Linked DNA regions of Oryctolagus cuniculus. The protein of the gene in region 3 purifies or fractionates together with the protein of the main gene of each other region. This does not show direct contact. Links are inferred from orthologs where the notes say so. Each region holds a gene or a part of one and is shown on either strand. Other genes may lie near its edges.

What was found.
Region 1: the proteins of ANAPC13 (region 3) and CDC27 purify together in Homo sapiens (affinity purification with mass spectrometry; 5 studies listed by BioGRID and IntAct, counting the BioPlex papers as one, with this or other methods). This does not show direct contact. The link is inferred for Oryctolagus cuniculus from reciprocal best matches to the Homo sapiens genes ANAPC13 and CDC27.
Region 2: the proteins of ANAPC13 (region 3) and ANAPC4 purify together in Homo sapiens (affinity purification with mass spectrometry; 9 studies listed by BioGRID and IntAct, counting the BioPlex papers as one, with this or other methods). This does not show direct contact. The link is inferred for Oryctolagus cuniculus from reciprocal best matches to the Homo sapiens genes ANAPC13 and ANAPC4.
Region 4: the proteins of ANAPC13 (region 3) and CDC26 purify together in Homo sapiens (affinity purification with mass spectrometry; 4 studies listed by BioGRID and IntAct, counting the BioPlex papers as one, with this or other methods). This does not show direct contact. The link is inferred for Oryctolagus cuniculus from reciprocal best matches to the Homo sapiens genes ANAPC13 and CDC26.
Region 5: the proteins of ANAPC13 (region 3) and ANAPC7 purify together in Homo sapiens (affinity purification with mass spectrometry; 3 studies listed by BioGRID and IntAct, counting the BioPlex papers as one, with this or other methods). This does not show direct contact. The link is inferred for Oryctolagus cuniculus from reciprocal best matches to the Homo sapiens genes ANAPC13 and ANAPC7.

What each region holds. Positions count from the first base shown.
Region 1 is NC_091448.1:16,932,752-16,936,971, reverse strand, and holds the start of CDC27 (cell division cycle protein 27 homolog), read right to left. Parts: upstream 2,811-4,220; 5' UTR 2,599-2,810; coding exon 2,572-2,598; intron 1-2,571. UniProt on the Homo sapiens protein: Component of the anaphase promoting complex/cyclosome (APC/C), a cell cycle-regulated E3 ubiquitin ligase that controls progression through mitosis and the G1 phase of the cell cycle.
Region 2 is NC_091433.1:20,489,748-20,493,257, reverse strand, and holds part of ANAPC4 (anaphase-promoting complex subunit 4), read right to left. Parts: intron 3,465-3,510; coding exon 3,359-3,464; intron 24-3,358; coding exon 1-23. UniProt on the Homo sapiens protein: Component of the anaphase promoting complex/cyclosome (APC/C), a cell cycle-regulated E3 ubiquitin ligase that controls progression through mitosis and the G1 phase of the cell cycle.
Region 3 is NC_091435.1:146,958,752-146,962,978, reverse strand, and holds the start of ANAPC13 (anaphase-promoting complex subunit 13), read right to left. Parts: upstream 2,802-4,227; 5' UTR 2,597-2,801; exon of another isoform or gene 2,556-2,596; intron 2,418-2,555; exon of another isoform or gene 1,533-2,417; intron 558-1,532; 5' UTR 510-557; coding exon 411-509; intron 1-410. Other genes in the region: CEP63 (centrosomal protein of 63 kDa), read left to right, coding at 2,961-3,091. UniProt on the Homo sapiens protein: Component of the anaphase promoting complex/cyclosome (APC/C), a cell cycle-regulated E3 ubiquitin ligase that controls progression through mitosis and the G1 phase of the cell cycle.
Region 4 is NC_091432.1:216,878,121-216,882,187, forward strand, and holds the start of CDC26 (anaphase-promoting complex subunit CDC26), read right to left. Parts: upstream 2,807-4,067; 5' UTR 2,573-2,806; exon of another isoform or gene 2,120-2,572; intron 814-2,119; 5' UTR 711-813; intron 122-710; 5' UTR 82-121; coding exon 1-81. UniProt on the Homo sapiens protein: Component of the anaphase promoting complex/cyclosome (APC/C), a cell cycle-regulated E3 ubiquitin ligase that controls progression through mitosis and the G1 phase of the cell cycle.
Region 5 is NC_091452.1:8,083,784-8,087,783, forward strand, and holds the start of ANAPC7 (anaphase-promoting complex subunit 7), read right to left. Parts: upstream 2,807-4,000; 5' UTR 2,321-2,806; coding exon 2,220-2,320; intron 1-2,219. UniProt on the Homo sapiens protein: Component of the anaphase promoting complex/cyclosome (APC/C), a cell cycle-regulated E3 ubiquitin ligase that controls progression through mitosis and the G1 phase of the cell cycle.

The DNA.
Region 1 (4,220 bases), on a different chromosome or scaffold from region 3:
GACCAGTCCCCCATATCCAATCAATTTCCATGTCTTACTGATTCTACCTCCCAACTATTTCTTAAATTTCCATCTTTAAAACATCTCTCAAATTTATCTATTTTCTTCTTACTCCACTGCTACCACTTTAGTCTAGATTACCGTCATCTTCGAGACTAGTTTTTATTCGTTCCCTCCTCACCATTATATTTCTCATACAGTAGAAATCGGTACTCTTTGAATCCATGATAAATGCTGTCCCCAGTCATCTTATACCAAGCCAAAAATACTCCTTCTACCTAATGAACTGTAAAAGGATATGGTATACATAGTACCCAATTACTATATTGCTTATTAAAATGATTTTCAAAAGGCTTGTTTACAATTTCTTCTGACATGTTTGAAAAGTCTTAACCCCAGGAATTACTGATAAATCTATACAAATATCTGCCTCTTAAAACATTTTATTCATTGGGTGACTTTTATATACAACCAAATTAGCACTGATTGAAGTCATTTAGGCCAGTGTCTCTTTCCCGAAGTTACTATGAAAGTAACTGAAGAACTTTTGTCTCAGAATATGATTTTTGTAAAGACTCAAATATTATGTTTTTCTATGAGAGGTAATTTGAGAAGGCAGTTCCATATTAAAAGTTTAAAGAAAAAAAGTAAACAGTTGCTCAACTTTTCTACTATTTCCTACACCTGGCAATATAGTGAACCCTAAGGCAGTCTAGAAAGAAACAAATTTCCAACTTACTCTCATTCCTTTTTAAATATACACAATCAGTCAATATATATATTTTTTAGAAGACTATATCTTGTCCTATTTTTATTCTCTTCTTTCCCATTTTCACCACTGTCCTTGATATTTGTCTTTGGAGCCAAAGTTGCTTTTCCTCGCACTGCTCCAGATCCCTTGACTGCTTTCTTCTTACACTACAAGAGCTCAACCAAATTACTACCAAAATTCTCACTTAGCCATAGCCTGAAACTCCCTACCACCACCCCCAAATCTAACATGGGGGGGTGGGGAGACAAATTAGACTTTTTAAGACTTAAAATATCTAAGTGTATTATTGCTAAGAGTATTTTAAAGAAAAATAGGAAACCTGATGGGTACTATATAGAAGCAAGCCATTTATTTTCTTTTTCATACTTTATACAGTTGAAATTATTATTAAACAGTGGTTATATGCTATCAATGTAACTAGTTCATCACTTTAGAAGGTTTTAAGGGCCAAAGAAAAGGAATCACTAAGACAAAATTACAAGAGTATGAAATAGAAACTAATCACTTTGTGATTAAAAAATTCTTAAAAATTACTCCATATTGGGAAGAGAAACTGCTGTGGAATACCTTTGGAAAAACTGATACAACTTGCAAACAGGTAAATTTCCTAAGACAGAATCCTCCATTATATTAATTCCAACACTGACAGCTACATGGGTAAAGAACTGGAAAAGAAACCAAACCAGGAGGAATGAGAATTTCGTGCTGTGAAGAAAAATTAAGCATGTTTATGGAAGTACTGATGTATTAAAATATTTACAATTTGAAATCACAGGCCTATTAGGGACAATATGAAGGGATTTCTAAAATTGATTTTCTTCATAACTTCAAAGTTTATGACTGAGTGACAGCAGCTGACAGAGGTCAGCTCCTCTGTGATCGAGTCAAAGACCATATATGGTGGGATGAAATCTCCCAGGCCCGATCCATCACCAAGGGACAAAAGGTTCCGTTCTTCAGACAGGCAGGGGGGACAGTGACCTGCACTGCATCACCCTCGTAGGAGCCCACAAGGGTCCTCCCACGCCAACAGAGCGCGGAGCCCCAAGGCACCCCTTGGTGTGGTACGGCAGTGATGGACGGAAAAGCCGTTTGTCTTCCATTTCCTGGACGCCTGACGAACTTGAACAATCAAATGTTCCCGATTCCCACCACCGGTAAAGGAAAAACCCAGGTTTGCCCTTTCCACCCCCACCCCCCCCCCCCCCAGCATAGGTGCTTGCCCCTCAGCACTGGGCCTTGGAGTTCTCAGATCCTCCTCCTCCGGTGGGAAAGTCACTGGGCAAGAAAGGCAACGTGTCTGTTACCAACACAGAAATTAATATTAAAAATACCCATCCTACCTTCCCTCCCTCCCTCCATCCTCACCCGTGTAACAAAACAAAACAAAAAACCCCTGCAAAGTTGCCCCGCCATTACGGAGCTGACACAAGCTCGGATCCAAAGTGCTCCTCACGCATCCCTCAGCCGAGGGGGCACCCAGGGGCGTCTCGGGCCGCCTCCCCTCAGTCCGAGCCAGGCCAGGCCCCTGGACTACCAGGAGGGGCTGGCCGGACGTGGGCTCGGACGGGAGAGCGCCCATTATCCTCGAAACCCGCTCCCGCTCGGGACAGAGGCAGCGCGGGATCGGGAGCAACACGGCTGCGGCGGCGGGCAAGGCCTCGGCTCGGAGGCAGGACCCGCAGCAGGGGAGGCGGGAGAGGCAGTCGGGCCTAGGCCGCAGCAGGCCGCCAAGTGGCCATACGCGGCTTCCCGACCGAGGCTGCGGGCCAGGCCTCGGAGAAGGGGGCTATCGTTACCTGGACGGGTTCCTGCAGCACCGTCATCCTTGAGGCTCAGGCCCACTCTCTGCAGTGCCTCAGGCCCCCCCCCGTAGCGGCTTCGGCCCGGCCAGCCCCGGCTCATTTAAACTCACCAGCGACCGTTACCGGGGGATGGGGGAGGCCGAGCGATTGCCGAGCCCCGCCGAGCGGGACACGGAAATACCCGAAGTGGAGCGAGCTGCGCGAAAGCGAGGCGGAAAGGCCCGAAACAAGTCGGAAATGCCCGAGATGGGTCGGTGGAGGAGGAGACCGTTTGCCGGAAATGGGCGAGGACATCCGGAAACTGCCGATTCGGCCCGGGCGCGTAGGTTCCTCTTCCCAGTCACGCCTTCACCCACGCACGCCACGCCCAATCGGCCACGCTAGACTGCACCACGCCCAATCGGCAACCGGCAGTCGGGGAGTGGCGTCACGGAGCGGGCGGGGAGCGTTACGTGGCGGGGCTGCGGTCTCGGGTCTACTCCGCCTTTCCGAATGAGTTGGTGCACGGTAGACTGCGCAAAGGGTAACACAGCAAAACGCCAGGGTTTGGGGCTGATGTAGATTAATCAAGAAGTGTTTCTCTCGAGTTTAGGGCATTCATGCATTCCAGAAGTACCCATCCACGGCTCGGGGGATATTTGGGAAGATTTCCACGCCCCAAAGTTACAGGATGGCTTCTGTCCTCAAGGAGATGGCCGTCCATTTGCAGGGAAAATGACGGGACAAAAGAGCTCATTACAAATGTAAAAATTAAGAAGATTGAGGAAAGAGAGAAAGATGCTAAGTGGGCTTTGAAGGATGGTTAGAATTACAAGAGAAGATAGTGGTGGGCGCCAGTTGGAACCCTGGCTGCTCCACTTATGATCCAGCTCCTTGCTAATGCTTTTGGGAAAGCAGCGGAGGATGACCCAAGCCCCTGGGCTCAGGCACCCACCCAGAAGAAGCTCCTGGCTCTTGGCCTTGGGCTGGTTCAGCCCCTGCTATTGTGGTCATTTGGGGAGTGAACCAGCAGAGGGAAGATCGATTCATTCTCTCTCTCTTTCTCTCTCTCTACTTATGCCCTTCAAATATATAAAAATAAATCTTGAAGAAAAAAGCGAAGGTGAAGGCCAGAGATACTTGATCAGTCTGGTAAGAGTTAAGGCAGTGACTGGAAAGGGTTAACTTAGGTGCCCAGAGCATGGAAAGATCTCAAAAGGCAACTAGGAATTTTTATTCTTGATAGGAAAGGTTTTCCGGTGTATTGGGAGGAGTTTGGGATTGGAAGTCCAGAGGCGTGGTTTTGTATGTAAATTTTTATTTATTTTCATTTTATTTGAAAGGCAGAGACAGACAGACACAGATCTTCTGTCTGTTGGTTCACTCCCCAAATGCCTACACTACTTGGGGCTAGGCCAGGTCAAAGCCAGAAGCTCAGAATTCAATCTGCGTCTCCCACAAGGGTGGCAGGGACCCAGCTACTGGGGCCGTCACCTGTTGCTTCCAGGATGCACGTTAGCGGGAAACTGGACCAAGAAGCAGAGGAGCCAGGACTCAAAGCAGACAATCCTATAGGGGGTGCAGGTGTACCAAGCAGTGTCACCCAGTACTCACTTCAGAGACCTCTGTGCTGACTTACATAGTCACCACCAGCTATTTAAAAT
Region 2 (3,510 bases), on a different chromosome or scaffold from region 3:
GTCAGCAAGAGCAAAGGCCAAAACTAGAACAGGGTGAGAAAAAAAACAGAGTACTTAGTGCAATGTTTGAGAAAAACAGGTACTTGGCCTACTGTCCAGTTTTACTATTTTAAACACATCTAATCATAAAGGCTTTTTTGCCTAAATGTCCCCCCTTTAAGTGCTAATAACTAAAGATCCTTGCGCAAGCTGGTTTTCAAGTGCGGCAGTGCTACCGGAGCACCGTGACGGAGCTAGGGTTTGTCAAGCACCCCCAGTCTAGAGCAGCACTCCACCATCAGGCAGAAAATACAGAAGTCTCAACAGACACGCAATTCAAGCTCATCCCCACGACGTACTGGGCCAGAAACACATCTAAGAGGAAAGACGTGTTTCCATCGGCTTTGAAGGATTTTCATTTTCTGTCTGTTTCTAACCCATAATGGGAAACAAGGCCTTCAACTACTGAGGAATCCTTTTATCCTGACTGTGGCTGATTATCTAGCATGCTTTCTGCACAGAAGTCATTAATGCCTTCTCTTTTTTTTTTCTTTTTTCAAAGATGTATTTATTTATTTGAAAGGCAGAATTACAGAGAGGCAGAGGGAAAGAGAGAGAGGTCCTCCATCTGCTGTTTCACTTCCCAAATGGCTGCAATGGGCGGAGCTGAACAGATCTGAAGCCAGGAGCCAGGAGCTTCTTCTGGACCTCCCACGCGGGTGCAGGGGCCCAAGGACTTCGGCCTTTTCCCACTGCTATCCCAGGCCATAGCAGAGAGCTGGATCAGAAATGGAGCAGCCAGGACTCAATCTAGTGCCCATATGGGATGCCAGCGCTTCAGGCAGTGGCTTTACCCATTAGGCCACAGCGCCGGCCCCTAAAACCTTCTTCTTTCTTTCTTTCTTTATTTTTTTTTAAGGATTTTAAGACTTCCTACAAGGAGGGCAGTAAGTTTTACTGCTGAGAGCTGGACTGGAAGAGTGAACCAGAGGAAGGACAATCTCTCTCTCCCTCTTCCTCCCTCTCTCTGTAACTCTGCCTGTCAAATAAACAGATAAATCTTAAAAACGTTTACTTTGGTGCAAAGTAAGTCTGAAATTTGTGCTTTTTCATAATACATATTTTCTATTTACTTTTGGAAGATCCTATATATGAATGGATTTCAAAATTTTCTGCACCAAAATAAACTTTCAATTCCACTCCCCATGAACTTTTTTTTCTTTTTTGAAAGGCAGAGTTACAGAGAGAGGTAGAGCCAGAGAGAGGTCTTTGATCTGCTGGTTCACTCCCCAAATGACTGCAACGGCTAGAGCTGACCTGTTCCAAAGCCAGGAGCCTGGAGCTTCTTCCAGGTCTCCCACATGGGTGCAGGGGCGCAAGGACTTGGGCCATCTTCCACTACCTTTCTAGGCCACAGCAGAGAGCTGGATCGGAAGTGGAGTAGCCGGGACTCGAACTGGCCACCATATAGGATGCCGTCGCTGATGGCTGGGGCCTTAACCTGCTGCTCCGCTGTGCCACAGTACTGGCCCCCTCCCATGAACATTTTTTTTTTTTTTTTTTTTTTTCAAACAGGCAGAGTTAGACAGTGAGAGAGAGAGGGACAGAGAGAAAGGTCTTCCTTCCGTTGGTTCACCCCCCAAATGGCTGCTACGGCCGGCACACCATGCTGATCTGAAGCCAGGAGCCAGGTGCTTCCTCCTGGTCTCCCATGGGGTGCAGAGTCCAAGCACTTGGGCCATCCTCCACTGCCCTCCCGGGTCACAGCAGAGAGCTGGACTGGAAAAGGGGCAACCGGGACAGAATCCGGCGCCCTGACTGGGACTAGAACCCGGTGTGCTGGCGCCACAGGCGGAGGATTAGCCTAGTGAGCTGCGGCGTCAGCTCCCATGAACTTTTGAAGTTGCCTCATATTTTAAGCAAAGTGAGTATAGAATGAATATAGTACATTAAAGCATTCCTGGACATCATACTTCCGGGAATTAATCTAAGGAGCTAACTCCAAGTATCAGCGCTCCCAGTGTTCAGGATATTTATGTATAGCATCTTTATAAAAACCAAAAACTAGAAACTATCTAAATGTCCACCTATGAGGATAGAGTTAGCAAATCACAATATAGAAATACAGTGGATTAGTATGTAATCATTTAACATTAATGTGGTTAATCTATCCACAGTGACAAGAAAAAAGCAATATAAAAAACAAAAACAAAAAAACTACACAACAAAATGGCATGTATTAGGGCCAGTATTGTGACACAGTGGGATAGGACACTGCCTGTAATGCTGAAATCCCATATGGGCACCGGTTTGAGTCCTAGCTGCTCCATTTCTGATCCAGCTCTCTGCTAATGTGCCTGGGAAAGCACTGGAAGATGGTTCAAGTGCTTGGGCCCCTGCACCCACACAGGAGACCTGGATGAAGCTCTTATCTTCACCCTGGCCTAGCCCTGGCCAGTGCAACCATTCAGGGAGTGAACCAGAGGATCTTGGTCTCTCTCTCTCTCTGCAACTCCACTTAATAAATAAATAAATCCATTTTTTAAAAATAGCATGCATCGAATGACCTCCCTCTGATAAAACTGTATAATGTATATATTCTGCATGTATGGATTTTATCAGAAATTTTAGAGAAGTTGTTCTCCAAAACAAAGTTATTTCTGACTTATAAGGTTTTCAGGGAATTTTAAAGCACTTCATTATATTTATCTGGGGGAACAAAATAAGCCATGAGGAGCTCATACCATTCTACAAAACCAGTATCCCCAAAGCATCAAAGACACAGATGACGTTCAAGCTCCGTGGTGTGCACACATCACTGTCCTGTGTGTAGCGGCTGAGATAAGGATTGGCATTGTCCATGCAACCCATGGAGTAAGAGTTCAATCGTCAGAGCCATAATGAGCAACAGCACAAGGGCCCCAGGAAACAGGGCGAGGAATGGAATCAGAGCTGAGGGAGCCTAGGAGTGGCAAGCAGGTCTGCACAGCGGATGCGCCACACGCTCAGTGGGAAATACACGGCTGGGAGGCCTTGAACTGAGCTGACTGTGAGTGGCAGGTGGTGCTGGGCCCAGGGGTGCAGGACCAGAGATAGCAGAAAGAACAAAGCTGAAGCTTTCTGTGGATCCATCGGATTTCAGCTCAGGGTTATCTTTGCCAAGAAGCTGGACTCCGTCTAAAAGAGCCCTCTGCCGAGAATTAATCTGAGCTTTATGGAAAGATGTTAAAGCCTGCTTTTGAAAAATGCTCCCCGATTGGCATTTATAACTCCAGTATAGTCTAACAATAAATTCTTTCTGGAAATAAGCTTTCTTTAGAGGCTATTTGATTTTCACCCTTTGTGAAAATACAGATTTTTTCTATAACAGTATCATTACGTTTGCCATCTGGTCTCCAAGCCAGACAGGTCACTTCCTTTCCTGTGTTTTCATTTGGTGGAAAACTCCAAACTCGATGAAAACTTGCAAGTCGGTGAAGCAAAACCTAAGAGAAAACAGATATAAGGCAGTAAGTAAAAAATCCATTTCCA
Region 3 (4,227 bases):
TGCCCTCGAAGCCCGCTGGCCCAGTCACTATGAAGACAAGCCAGGCACCTTACGAGTATTTCCCAGGGAACGCAGGACAGGTGCGTGTTCTGGAAACGTCGGCAGCTGACAGGGCCGAGGGAAGCAGGGGCCCCGGTTAGCTTCCATGCGGCTGCTCCTGTCTGTCCGGCACACTTCATTGTCCGGTCTCCCTCCGGCTGTGCTGTGGCAGCCAGAACACGGCTCCGGAGGGTGGCGCCGCAGCCCTGGCAAGACCCCTGGCCGTGCTGGTTACCTCCGCTTTCTGAACCACACTGCTCTGTGGGGCTGAGACGCTCATACGCCCCCGCGGCTCCGACTTCTCTGCCCTCCTGGTACAGCCCCTGGACACCCTGCCTCCAGCCACGGTCCCGGGCCCCATCGCCACCTACCAGCGGTATCGCCACATCCTCGTAAGGCAGCTTGTCTTCCCGCCAAGCGTCGTCGATGAGATCCAAGATCCTTCCATCCCGCTGCACCTCACTGTCCATGTTCCCGTGGCTTTGATCTCGGCGGAGCCGGACGCCAAGGGGTTCCTTCTGAAACGGGACGGCAGGAAAGATGTGGACTTAGCACCAGCACTGCCCAGGCATTCCCGAGCCTCCCGTGAAGGCAGGAAGAGGTCCTCTTCCAGGCGGTCAAGTGACAACTTAAAAACCAGAGTTCCTGCGCCCGGTCAGCCGACAAACGCTGTGCAGTGAGCGCCTCTGGACAGACTCATCCATCCGTCTGCACCTGCCCCGATTCAAACCTCAGCACAGGAGCGCACTGCACGCGCTCAGCTCACACCTTAGGACGTGGCCAGGACAGGCCTGCCGCAAGGCCTCAGGCCAGGGACGGCGAGAGCGTCGGAAAGCTTGCTTCCTTCCTAAAACAGTGGCCCGGCCGAGCTCCGAGAGGGGCACCTCCAGGTGAGCAACTGGGGCATCCCAGGCTGCTCCCCCACTCTGAGACCAGGGTATCTCCATCCCGCCCCCCTCAGCGACCATGGTATCTCCCCACTCCCCCTTCTCAAGGACCATGGTATCTCCCCTCCCATCCCCTCTCCCCATGCTCTTCAGTGAGGATGGTGTCTCCCTGCCCCCTCTCAGGGACCATGGTATACCCCCCTCAGTAACCACGGTATCTCCCCCCCGCCCTTCAGTGACGATGGTGTCTCCCTCCCCCCTCTCAGGGACCATGGTATCTCCCCACTCCCAGCTGCACTCAGTGCACAGATGCCTCCTGCCAGCCTCATTGTCCCCTGAGCAGCTGCAACCTCATGCAGAGGCCTGGCTGGCAGGTTCCCTCATCGCTAGCGTTCCTCCACGTTAATCCCAACGGCCCGCACTCCACTGGACCAAAGGCGCCCTCAGGCCCTCCCGGCATCTGACACTGCGGAGGCGCACACAGAAAACCTCGGCGGGCGGCGGGATCCCACTCCATCCACGGGCCTCTGCTCTCCTAACAGCAAGACGGCTCCTAACCCCTGGACCGTAATTCTACCCGCGTCGGGGTGCGGAGAGGTTTCTAACCTCGGTGAACGGGCAGAACTGCGGCAAAGGCGCTCCTTCCGCTACCAGCAAGCCGCGTGGGGCCCCAAGGCTGGCCCAGGACCACGCGGCGACTCGTTGAAGGAGCCTGTCTTCAGGGCTCCTGAGGCTCAGGTGCAGTTATATGCGGTGCAGTCTGTCCCCTTTGCTGGTTTTCCCAGGCCCTCGCAGAGCCCCCTCCTATAAAAGCTTCCGGAGACCTCGGTCCTGACTCATCCAGACACAAGCGAGCTCAGCTCTGCGGCCCGCGGCTCGGGCACGCCTGTCTGGCTGCAGGTGCAAATCCTGCACCAGGATCCCCCAGCAGGTCTCTTCCACCTGTCCGCAAACACCGCCCGCCCAGTCCCACTCTCCCGCTCTGAAATCCTGCCCCTAGCGCCTCTGCATCAGACCTCGCCTTCCCCGCTGGCCTGCAGTCTGGCGACTTCAGGTGAACCCACTGCATGCAGGGAATGGTGTCCGGGCTAGGTTGCCCCCCGCCCCGGACCCGGACCCCAGACCCAGGACTCAGGATTAAATCACCACCTCTACAGCAAGGCTAGGCTCCGTTCTGCATGCCTCACGGGAACCCCGGCCCTGATCAACAAATTCCCGTCACACCACTCTCCGCACCGGCCAGAGGGCCACCGCTGACCAGTGTGCCAACCAGCCCTACTTGTCCTGGGGGCGCCGTGCCTGGCGCCAACAAGGGAGACAGACAGTGCGTGCCTTCCCTGCGACAGGGGCACGTCTTGTCCATCTCTGTCTCCCAAAGCTTTGTGACTAAGCATTTACACGATCAAAGACAAAACACCACCCCAGCTTTTCTGTGGCGCTACAAATGACCCTCGCAGGCCACCGTACCGGGAAGGCCAACCCACAACCACGGCTTCCGGCCCGAGGCGGGCGCTACCAACTGGGGAAACCAGGAGGGGGAGGTCTGGGGCCGCCACGTCAGGGCCTTCCAGCCCGCCACACTCCAAGGGTGAGGTGAAGGCATCGGCCGCGGCCGCTGCACTCGACCCCGTCACACCAAGACCCGCGCCACGAACGCAGGAAACTCTTACCAGCACCCGGCCCAAAGCAGCAGCGCTTCCTCCCGGCCACACCCCGGCACCACGTGACCCGTTCGCCCGTCTCCCAGATCCCCGGATGTGGGTGAGCCCATTTATGCGCGCGGAGGGGCGGTCCGGGTTGGGGGGGGGGTGAGGCGGCAGTGGGCGGAACGAACGTGTCGGCGGCAGAGGGAGGACGTAAGATCGGCGGCGCCGCGCGTGCGCGGGCCCGTCCCGAGGTAACGACGGGAAGGCCACGGGCGCGCTCGCGGCGGCCGCTGGGTAACCGCCAGTGGGGACCTAGGCCCCTGCGAGGGGCGGGCGTGTCCTGGTCCGGAGGCCCTGGCCAACCTGGTGCCCCCAGCCGCGCGGCCGCATGGCCCGGGACTGGCTTCTGCAGCAGCCCGCCGGCCACCAGGGGCGCCCCTCGGCCTGCCCGCCCACGCCTTGTGGCCCCGCGAAGGCGGCCGTGGCCCAGTCCGCGGTGGCGTGCGGCCCTGCGGGGAGGTCAGCCGTGGCCCGCAGGCCGGCCGGAGGGGGGTCGCGGGCTCGGGCGCCGCTGCGTGGAGTGCTCCCTGCGCGGGGAGGCTGCAGGGTGGCGTCGGCGGGGTTGGAGGAGGCAGGCCGCCCTCGACGTTCATATTCACATAGAAGGAAATGGCTTGGAGCGGTTGCTCAGTAACGCCCTACACGACCAGGCTCCTGGGGCTGGATCTGCGGTGCCCTGGCGGCCCTGGGACAGTGGCGGAAGCTCCTGTTCGTTTAGGGCTGCACGAAGCAGCTTCCCCCGAGCCCAGGGTCGGACCCCCGATGTCGGCTTCAGACGCCCCGCGTTTGCACAGTTTTGCTCCCCGTGTAGTTTGAGTTTACGAAGAGGAAACCAGGAGCGACACGGGCTGCATACTGAATCTTTAACGGATGTAGCTTGGTGATCGAGTCTGTGTTCGCTTGCTCGGAAGGCGGTGCCCTTGGTTTTCCTGCTGAGCTCCTTGCTAGTTAGCAAGGCCCTGAAACTGGAATGGGCTAGAGATGTGTAACCACCTAGACACTGCCCTCTGCAGCCCGTGCGAGTCAAGTTCATAAACTCGCTTCTAAGGGTTGTTTAGGTCGATTAGTCCCCGCGCTCCTCTGTGTGGGCCACTCTCACGGCTACCTTCCTGCTCCGCACGCACGCTGTCGGCTTGCAAAAAGCAACATGGACCTCAAAGTTGCAGGCATTGAATTTCTGGTTTATGTTAGCCCTCCCCTCCGCCCCCAAGAGCTAGGTTGGTTTCTGCAGTTGCACAAAGCCACAGAACTCTCACACCTGTGGAGATCAGAATTCCCTACTGTGGGCCTCCGCGGGGCTCGGGTTTCTTCAGCTGCCCCATCCCTGTGTGTAGTTGATCCCAGGTCTCACCCCGAGATCTCCCTGTGTGCTTGACTGATAGACCTTTTAAATCCTACCTGCAAACGGCTCTCTGGCCTCTTTCTGCTGTTCTACACTGACCTGTTTGCCTCCCGAGGTGTGCTTGGGTCCCCTGGAATTGCACCTCCGCCTAGCCAGCTGCAGCGGGTACGCTGATTAACATGGCAGAGCACACAGTCCAGTTCTGCATTGCATAGTGCTTGGTACAGCTGCAGCTCCTCCCGTGGTTACTGTT
Region 4 (4,067 bases), on a different chromosome or scaffold from region 3:
CTCTAGGTCCTTTCGAATGCTCTCAAACTCTTCAATGTCATCAAGCTTGAGCTCCAAGCGCGTGGGTTTCCGTCGCAGCATACTGAAATCTACACTGAGAGCAGATCCAATCAACTATGAGCTATTAAAAATGACACAGAGAAAAACTGGAGGTGATACGTTGCAGTTACATACATAAGGCCAATTTCTACACATGTACACTAAAGTGAAGGCAATAGCAAAATCAAACTTGGATTCACACATAGATCTCTTTCTTTTTTTGAAAGGCAGAGTGACAAAGAGATGGAGAGGCACAGAGAGACAGAGATCTCTCATCCACCATAGTTCACTACTCCCATGGCCACAGTGTCTCTGGATGAGCCGGGCCAAAGCCAGGAGTCAGGAGTTCCATTGTTGTTTCCCAAGTGGGTGGCAGGGGTTCACACACACCGGCCATTATCTGGTGCTTTCCCAGGCACATTAGAAGGGAGCTGGACTGGAAGCAGAGCAGCCAAGACTCTGATATGGGATGCCATATTGCAAGATGTGGTTTACCTTCCGTGCCACAATGCCAGCCCCACACATAGATTTCTTAAGGCTTTAGGTGTATGCTTCTTACATTTGTATTTCATGATGGAGATCCACAACGCGGTGATTCAAAAACCTCTTTCTGAAAAAACTGAACACCAGCAAGCTGCCTATAAGAAAATTCTAGGCAAAACTGAACTCACCAATTCACAAGATTCTCTTCAGTGTCTCAATCAACCAGACAGATCATTCATTAGCAAAGACTTCTTGTGCTCCGGCTACAAAATTAAAAGGTACAGACACAACCTGTGGGAGAAACAGACACGTGAGGGGAAAATTAACAGCGAGGGGAGCAAGAACACTGATGAGAATACAATGGCAGCCATGCTGGCCCGAAAGCTGGACTAGGTGTGGGGTGGTGGCCAGGGATGTTAAACACGGCCTATGGCAGGAAATGATGTCTAAATGGAGTCTTAGTCGACATCTAAAGAGCAGGCAGAGAGAACAAGTGCACAAAGAAGCTCAAGAGAACAGTCTGAGTCAAGACAATACTTTTAACAAAAACCCTTTCTTTGAGCAAACAGAACTCCCCATCACGTTTAGTATCTGTTGAGGGGCACCTTCATGGCACCCAACAGAGTCTGTGTATGTACATTAGGCAGTCAGTAAACGTTCCCTGAATATAGGAAACAACTAAAGTAAAATGAACTTGAGTGAGCACTGGGCTAATTTTTCCATCACCATTCTTCACTTGCTTATTTTAATACGAAAACCCTGTGAGGCTGGCAAGATCGTCCTATTTTACAGAGAAAGAAGTCAAAGCAAGCTGTCCAGTCTGGCCTCCTGTAGGAGTCACACATAGGACCGTGGGGTGAGGATTAAATGAGACTGATGTAAATGAACGCCACTGGCTGTACCCAGGATGAAACCGGGGACTGAGAAGTGCATAAAAGAAGAAACATTTCCTCCTCCTCCCATGAAGCCTGAGACAGACACGCAGTGGTAACACAAAACATTACTTTTTTTTTTTTTTTTTTTTTTTTTTGCGGCTCACTAGGCTAATCCTCCACCTTGCGGCACCGGCACACCGGGTTCTAGTCCCGGTCGGGGCGCCGGATTCTGTCCCGGTTGCCCCTCTTCCAGGACAAAACATTACATTTCAATTTGCTTTGACTTAAATCTGATACTGTCCACCAGATTCCAATGCCGACAAGCAGCAGAGGAAAACGAAGTTCCAAATGGGGTGAGGAAGGGATACTGAGAAGATCGCTATGCATTTTAACTTTTCTGCGAAAACGAAAAGCCCACCACCACCACTAGGAAGCAGGGTAGAGACCCGGCTGAAGTGCTGGCTCCGATCCCTTTAAGTTTCCGATCTTTGTCTCGCACCAGACCTTCCTTGCCTCTATACTCTGTTGCTGTCTGAATTGAATGGCGTAATGCCGATTAAGCTCCTGGCTACACAACTGTGGTATTCAGTAAACGCTCAATAAATAACAGGCACTTATGACTGCAGTTGTTGGGGGCGGGGGGCGGAAGAGATAACGATGGGGGAGGGGGGTGTTCCAGCTCTGCAAACACGAACATTTTGAGTCTCCCACCCACTACATGCCTTGTTCATCGCTGATGCCCCCGCACCCAGAGGAGCACAGGGCTATGCAGGAGAGTCGGCTGCGGTCTACCCGACGCCTTCCTAGCCATCATCTCACTCAGTCTGACACAAAGACCCGGCTGAAGACGAAACAAAAGCAACAGCAAAACCGGGCCGAAGCTTCGCCCGCTCTTTACTTCACTTAGACGCTAGAGGGCTCTTTGAGCTTCATCTCTCACCGCTGCCCAAATCCACCGCAAACTGAGCCAGCTCGGCCGGAGCCCCCGGCCCCGGGAGGACTTTCCTCCCCACCCCCACCCCGACAACCCTCCTCGCCCAGCCCCAGGACCACACTCAGCGGTCCGGGCGATGGTTTCCATGGCAACATGGGCCTCCGCCCCGGGACGACGTAAAGTCTCTAGGAGCCCTCGGTAAGCTCCAGAGTTCAGCGCCCGGCCGCGCGACTTGACTCACCTTCCTCTCTCTCCAAGCCCGCTCAGCCCCTTCCCGGAAGGAACCTCAGCTCCCACCACGAATCTACTGCGAGCCCAACTGGACTACACTTCCCAGAGTGCTTCGCGCCCCTCTCCCCTCCAGAACCTCGTCTCCCGCGAGCTTTTCTCGGAGGTTCTAAGGGTCATGCCCCTCCACGCGACCAGAATAGTAACTACTACGACTCCCATGATGCTCCGCGCCGCTCAGGGCGCTGCGTCGGCGCCCGACTTCACTTCCGGTCCGTGACGTAGTTCCGCTTTGCTGGGCGCGCGGTGGATGGTCTGAAACGGAGAGCTTGGCTTTTTCTGGGGCTTGGCTGCTGCGGAGCCCAGCATGGCTTCGTCACGAGCGTCCTCCACGGTACGGAGCTCGGGATCTCAGTTCACTGCGGCAGGGAGCGCCGAGAGGGTGGGGGTCCCTCGGGGAAGGGTCCGTTAGGGAGCGGGCTGACAGGGTGGAGGGCTGCCGGACTCGGTCCTGCCCTCCAGAGCAGAGCAGCATTCCCCGGACCCTTGAGCGAGTGTATGTGCTGTTACTCGTATGCACCTGTCCCACCGCAGCCCCGAACGGCAAACACCACTTCCGACTGGTCCAAACCAGGGCTCCGGAGTGGGCGAGTGTCTTGGCCACGGTGGCTGTCTATAGGAGACCTCGGAATTGGGATGAGGCCTCCCGGCTCCTGCTCTGCTACCACAGGTCTCAAAACGCTTGAGATGGACCGAGCAGGAGCGTTGTCACTGGCTACCCCTCCCTCGGCACCACGCCGGTTCTTTTACCTTACCCTTGGTGTTTCCCCCCGTGTTAAACGGTAACCCTGGAAGTATCACGAAACCCAAAAAGAGCTTGCACTTCCAACAGAATGAAGTGATCGTCTTCCAGAGGCAGAACCACCCGGAGAACCGGGTTTAATCCACCTCTTCAAGCTGTCAAACTGGAAGTGATTGAAGGGCTGACGTGCCCTCCCGCCCCCATCCCCACACCCGCGGGTCCGTGAAGCGCATCTTCCCTGGCGCCCAGTTTGGCCTTTTGTTGGGGGAGGTCAGGATGAACTTCACCCTTTAGGGAAGCCTCGTGGATTGCTAAGATCGAGCCTTGAATTAATCGAAGCCTTCGGTCTAGCAGGCCACCAAAACGAAAGCGCCTGATGACCTGGTGGCTCCGGTGGTGAAGAAGCCACACATTTATTATGGAAGTCTGGAAGAGAAGGAAAGGGAGCGGCTGGCCAAAGGAGAATCTGGGATTTTGGGAAAAGAAGGACTTAAAGCAGGAATTGAAGCAGGAAATATTAATATAACCTCCGGTAAGATGACAGATTTCAGTCCATCTTTACCTTTACCTCCAGTTTTCTGTAATGCGTGCCTTCCTCAGCTTAGATAGCTGTAGTTTTATGTTACAAGTTTTCAATTTTTAAACTTGAATCTATAGACTCATATTTTGCTTACACTACCTAGCATCATCCAGGAGCCTTTTTTTT
Region 5 (4,000 bases), on a different chromosome or scaffold from region 3:
TGCGGCCATCTGGGAAGTGAACAAGCAGATGGAAGACCTTTCTCTCCTTCTGTAACTTTCTCAAAAAATAAATAAAATCTTTATATATGTGTGTGTGAGAGTGTGTGCGCATGGGGCCAGTGTAGTGACACAGTGGTTTAAAGCCCTGGCCTGCAGCACCAGCATTCCAGATGGGTGCCGGTTCACGATTCAGCTGCTCCACTTCCAATATCGCTCTCTGCTAATGCGCCTGGGAAAGCACCGGAGGACGGCCCAGGTCCTTGGGCCCCTGCATCCATGTGGGAGACCCAGAAGTTGTTCCTGGCTCTTGGCTTCGGATACACACAGCTCTGGCCATTGTGACCATTTGGAAGATTTCTCTCTGCTTCTGCCTCTCTGTAACTCCGTCTTTCAAATAAATAATAAATAAATAAATCTTTAAAATACATACATATATATATATATACACACACACACACACAAACAATAAAGGTCAAAACTTAAACAAGGTAGGAAACTGCCAGTCAACCCCGACATGAAAACACGCAGGCTAACCAAACTTAGCTTAACCAGCGTTATCAACTGCTCTAACAGCCCTGTAACACCTCTGAGAACCAAGAGCAATGACTAACTGATGCATTAATTACCAACGCTGGAAACTGTATGCCTTGATGAATCGCTCAGAACCAAGTACAAGTTCCAGAATAAACACAGAAGGCTGGCACAGACCAGAGCTCCTCACTGTCAACACTAAGCGGATGGTGGCAGGTGGTGGTCTCACTGGCGAGGGCCAAAGCACACTAACAGAGAAGGGGAGTAGTGTCTGCTGTGCAGCCATGGAGGGAGGCCTTTCCTTCCTGGCCTACACCAGCTATGAAGAGGCCAAAGCCGGCGGGTCCACACAGAGCAGAAGCAGCCATCATACTGCCACCCGGAGGTCGCAGACTGAGAGGTCGGAATGGAGACTCAGGCCACAGAACCAGTGGCCAGACGGCTCCCTCACTTCCTGGCTGTGCCAAGCGGGACAAGTGCTTCACCTCTCCGAGGGTGCACACCCTTCCTTAGCACGTTCAATACGCAACAGATGTCGCGCTGATTCCATCAGGTGGTCAGAGCACGGGGAGCCGACCTTTACGCCCTCATCGCACATCAGAATGCCCGGGTTCAATTCTGGCTCCTGCCGCCAGCTTCCTGCTAATGCAGACACTGAGAGGCGGCAGTGATGGTTCGAATAACGGCTCCAGCCACCTCCGTGAGACCTGGGCTGTGGTCCCAGCACCTGGGCTCAGGTCCCGACTAGCAGTTGTGGGCATCTGGTGAGTGAACCAGCAGATGAGAGAGTGCTCTCTCGGAGTTTAAAAAGAACCATGTAAAAAGTAAAAACCACTACCGCATCAAACAGCCAAGTGGGAAAACGGGACAAAATCCTGATGGTCAAAGAGCTCTCTAGGAGGGACACGGGCGGCTGAAACCTGCGGGGGGGGGGGGGTTACCATGCCAACGGCAGGTGCAGAGGCCCAGGCGTGAGAACCAGCCTGGGGCAGTCAAGGGCCACACACCAGTCAGGGAGGCTGGGGTCCGGCGAAGAGGCCTCAGGTCAGAGAGAGCTGTGCTGGGATCTTAGCCGAAACCCAGCGGGGACCGACAAGCACTCAAGGCTGGAACCGGCCCTGTGCCTCCTCTGTGGCGGGACTCAACCCACAGCAGCTCCGGAAACAAGAAGGGCGCCGCCCCCCGCCCCCGCCCCCGCCCCCGCCCCGAGTCTCCCGGTTCCAGGACTCTGCCAAGGCGAGAAAGGGGGCCCTTCTGACACACGCAAGAGGAACCAAATCTGGCTCCGAGGTGGGAATCGGCTATCGAAACCAGAGGCCTGGGGCTGCGCTGCAGCGAGCGGGAAGGAGCCGGGGGCGCGGGGTTCAGCCCGGCGATGTGGCTGACAGTCGCCCGGCGACGGACGCCTCGAGAAACCCTTCGCTCGCCCCCGTCTGGGAAGTCGTCGCCAGGTGGTTCTCGGAGCCTCCGCCTTCCATCGGTCGAAGTCGCCGCTCGCCTCATCCCCTACAGGGAGCCCGGGACGAGGCCGAGGCCAAGGCCGTCCAACTTGCGCTTCCAAGCCGGCGGGCTGATCGTGGAGCCTCCGCTGGGGGCCCGCGGCCGCTCCTTCCCGCCCCCTCGGCCCCCGCTCCCAGACCGCCGCCGCTTTTCTCCTCAGCCCCAGGCCGTTCCCCGCCTCAACTCACGGGTTGTTATTACTCATTGTAAGTAACAAGCTGCTGAGAAGCCGCACATTGGAGTGCAGCCCCGCGGCTGCCATGTCCCGCACGTGGTCTATCACATTCATCCTGCCCGGCGAAGCCACGGACGGCGGCGGCGGCGGCGGCGCGGAAAGCCGGTAAAGGATGCTCTAGGAAGGTTCCAAAATGGCGGCGGCGCCGGGGTCCTCCGGGTCCACACGCGGCACCGCCCCCGAGAAATAGGTAACTACCGAAGTGCCTGAGTGGCAAGAAACTCAGCCGCCACCGCCTTCGCCTGAGAGCTGGAACGGTATCTTGTGGCGGTCTTTCACGCGACAATTACGTCATCATCCTAAACGGCAGACCTCAGTGAGGTTCTCCGTTGGCACGAAAGGCACCCCAGTAGGAATATAGCCTCATTTGAAATAAGGGGAGCCCCAGAGGCCTCTAGGGCCTCTCGGAAGTTAACGAAATGCATGGGAATTTTTCAAAAATAAAAGTGGTGGAGTAAAACTCTTCGACGGCTGGAATTAAATATTTTAATCAGGCGCCAGAGGCGGACCTAGCCGTTCTTCCAAGCGCGCATGCGCACCAGGCGAAAGTCGTCACGCCCCCTCCTCCGGAGACGTGTGTCCGGCCGCAGTGGACTTCTCGCTGGGTGCGAAGGGGTCAGCTTCCCTCGTTAAATGACTCACTAGGTCAGGGTGAATGGCGGGCAGCCGTGGCAGCACGTGCGTGGCACGGTCCACGGACGTTCTCACAGCTCCCGCGTGGCGCGCTCGCCGACCTGCCCGCGAAGTTGTCGGAGCGGTCGGCGCCTGCACCTGCCCGCTTGGCCTGGAACCCCCGGGTCGCGCGCACCTCCAGCACTAACGGGGGCGGGGGCCGCGTTAGGCGCACCTGGACGAGTCTCCACTGCCCCCAAGGCCGCCCGGGTCTCCCAGGGGGAGGGCTCGGGCCGTCTGCTGCCTTCCCCCGGCCGTCAGCAGGGAGCTGGGTCGGAGCCGAGCCGACGGGATTGCGGCGTCGCGGCTGGCGGGTCACCCGCTGTGCCCGCCTCCTGATAAAGGGCAGGGACCCAGCCATCAGACGGGGAGCAGCGCGCAGGGGTGAGCACGGGCGCGTTCCCTCTGTCGGTCCCGTGCGGGAATTCTTCTGTGACTCTTCAGAAGTCATGATCTTAAATTTTAGGATCATAAATCTGGATTTTAAAATTAGTCCCAATTTTTTAAACATTGGCCAAAACAAAAATAATAGCAAGAACCCTACACAGGAGAGGAGAAATATGAGACTACTTTATACATTAGTAGCACGGTGGAGCATGTGAGCACCGGTTCAGGTCCTGGCTGCTCCACTTCTGATCCAGCTCCCTGCTCATGCGCCTGGAAAAGCGGCAGGGGATGGCACAAGGGCCCGAGCCCCTGAACCACATGGGAGTCCCTGGCCCCTGGCTGCAGTCTGGCACAGCCCCAACCATTGTGGGCTTTTAGGGGGTGAACCAGCAGGTGCAAATTCCCTTTCTTTCAGCCTCAGCCTTTCAACTAAAGTAAATCTTGAAAAAAAAAAAAAAAAAAAGAGTGGCTGAAGCAGGTTGCGTAATTATATCACTCTGTAGTTACCGTTTTAATAAAGTTTGAAGACTTACTATATATTGCTTATGGATATATACATATTTAGGAAAAGTATTTTAGAAGTTTCACAGAAATGGTAAGTGCCAGAGTCCTCGTGGGGCTCCGTTTAGGAGAGGAGAGTCAAGAGTGGGATGGGGGAAGCCCACGCAGGAGCTT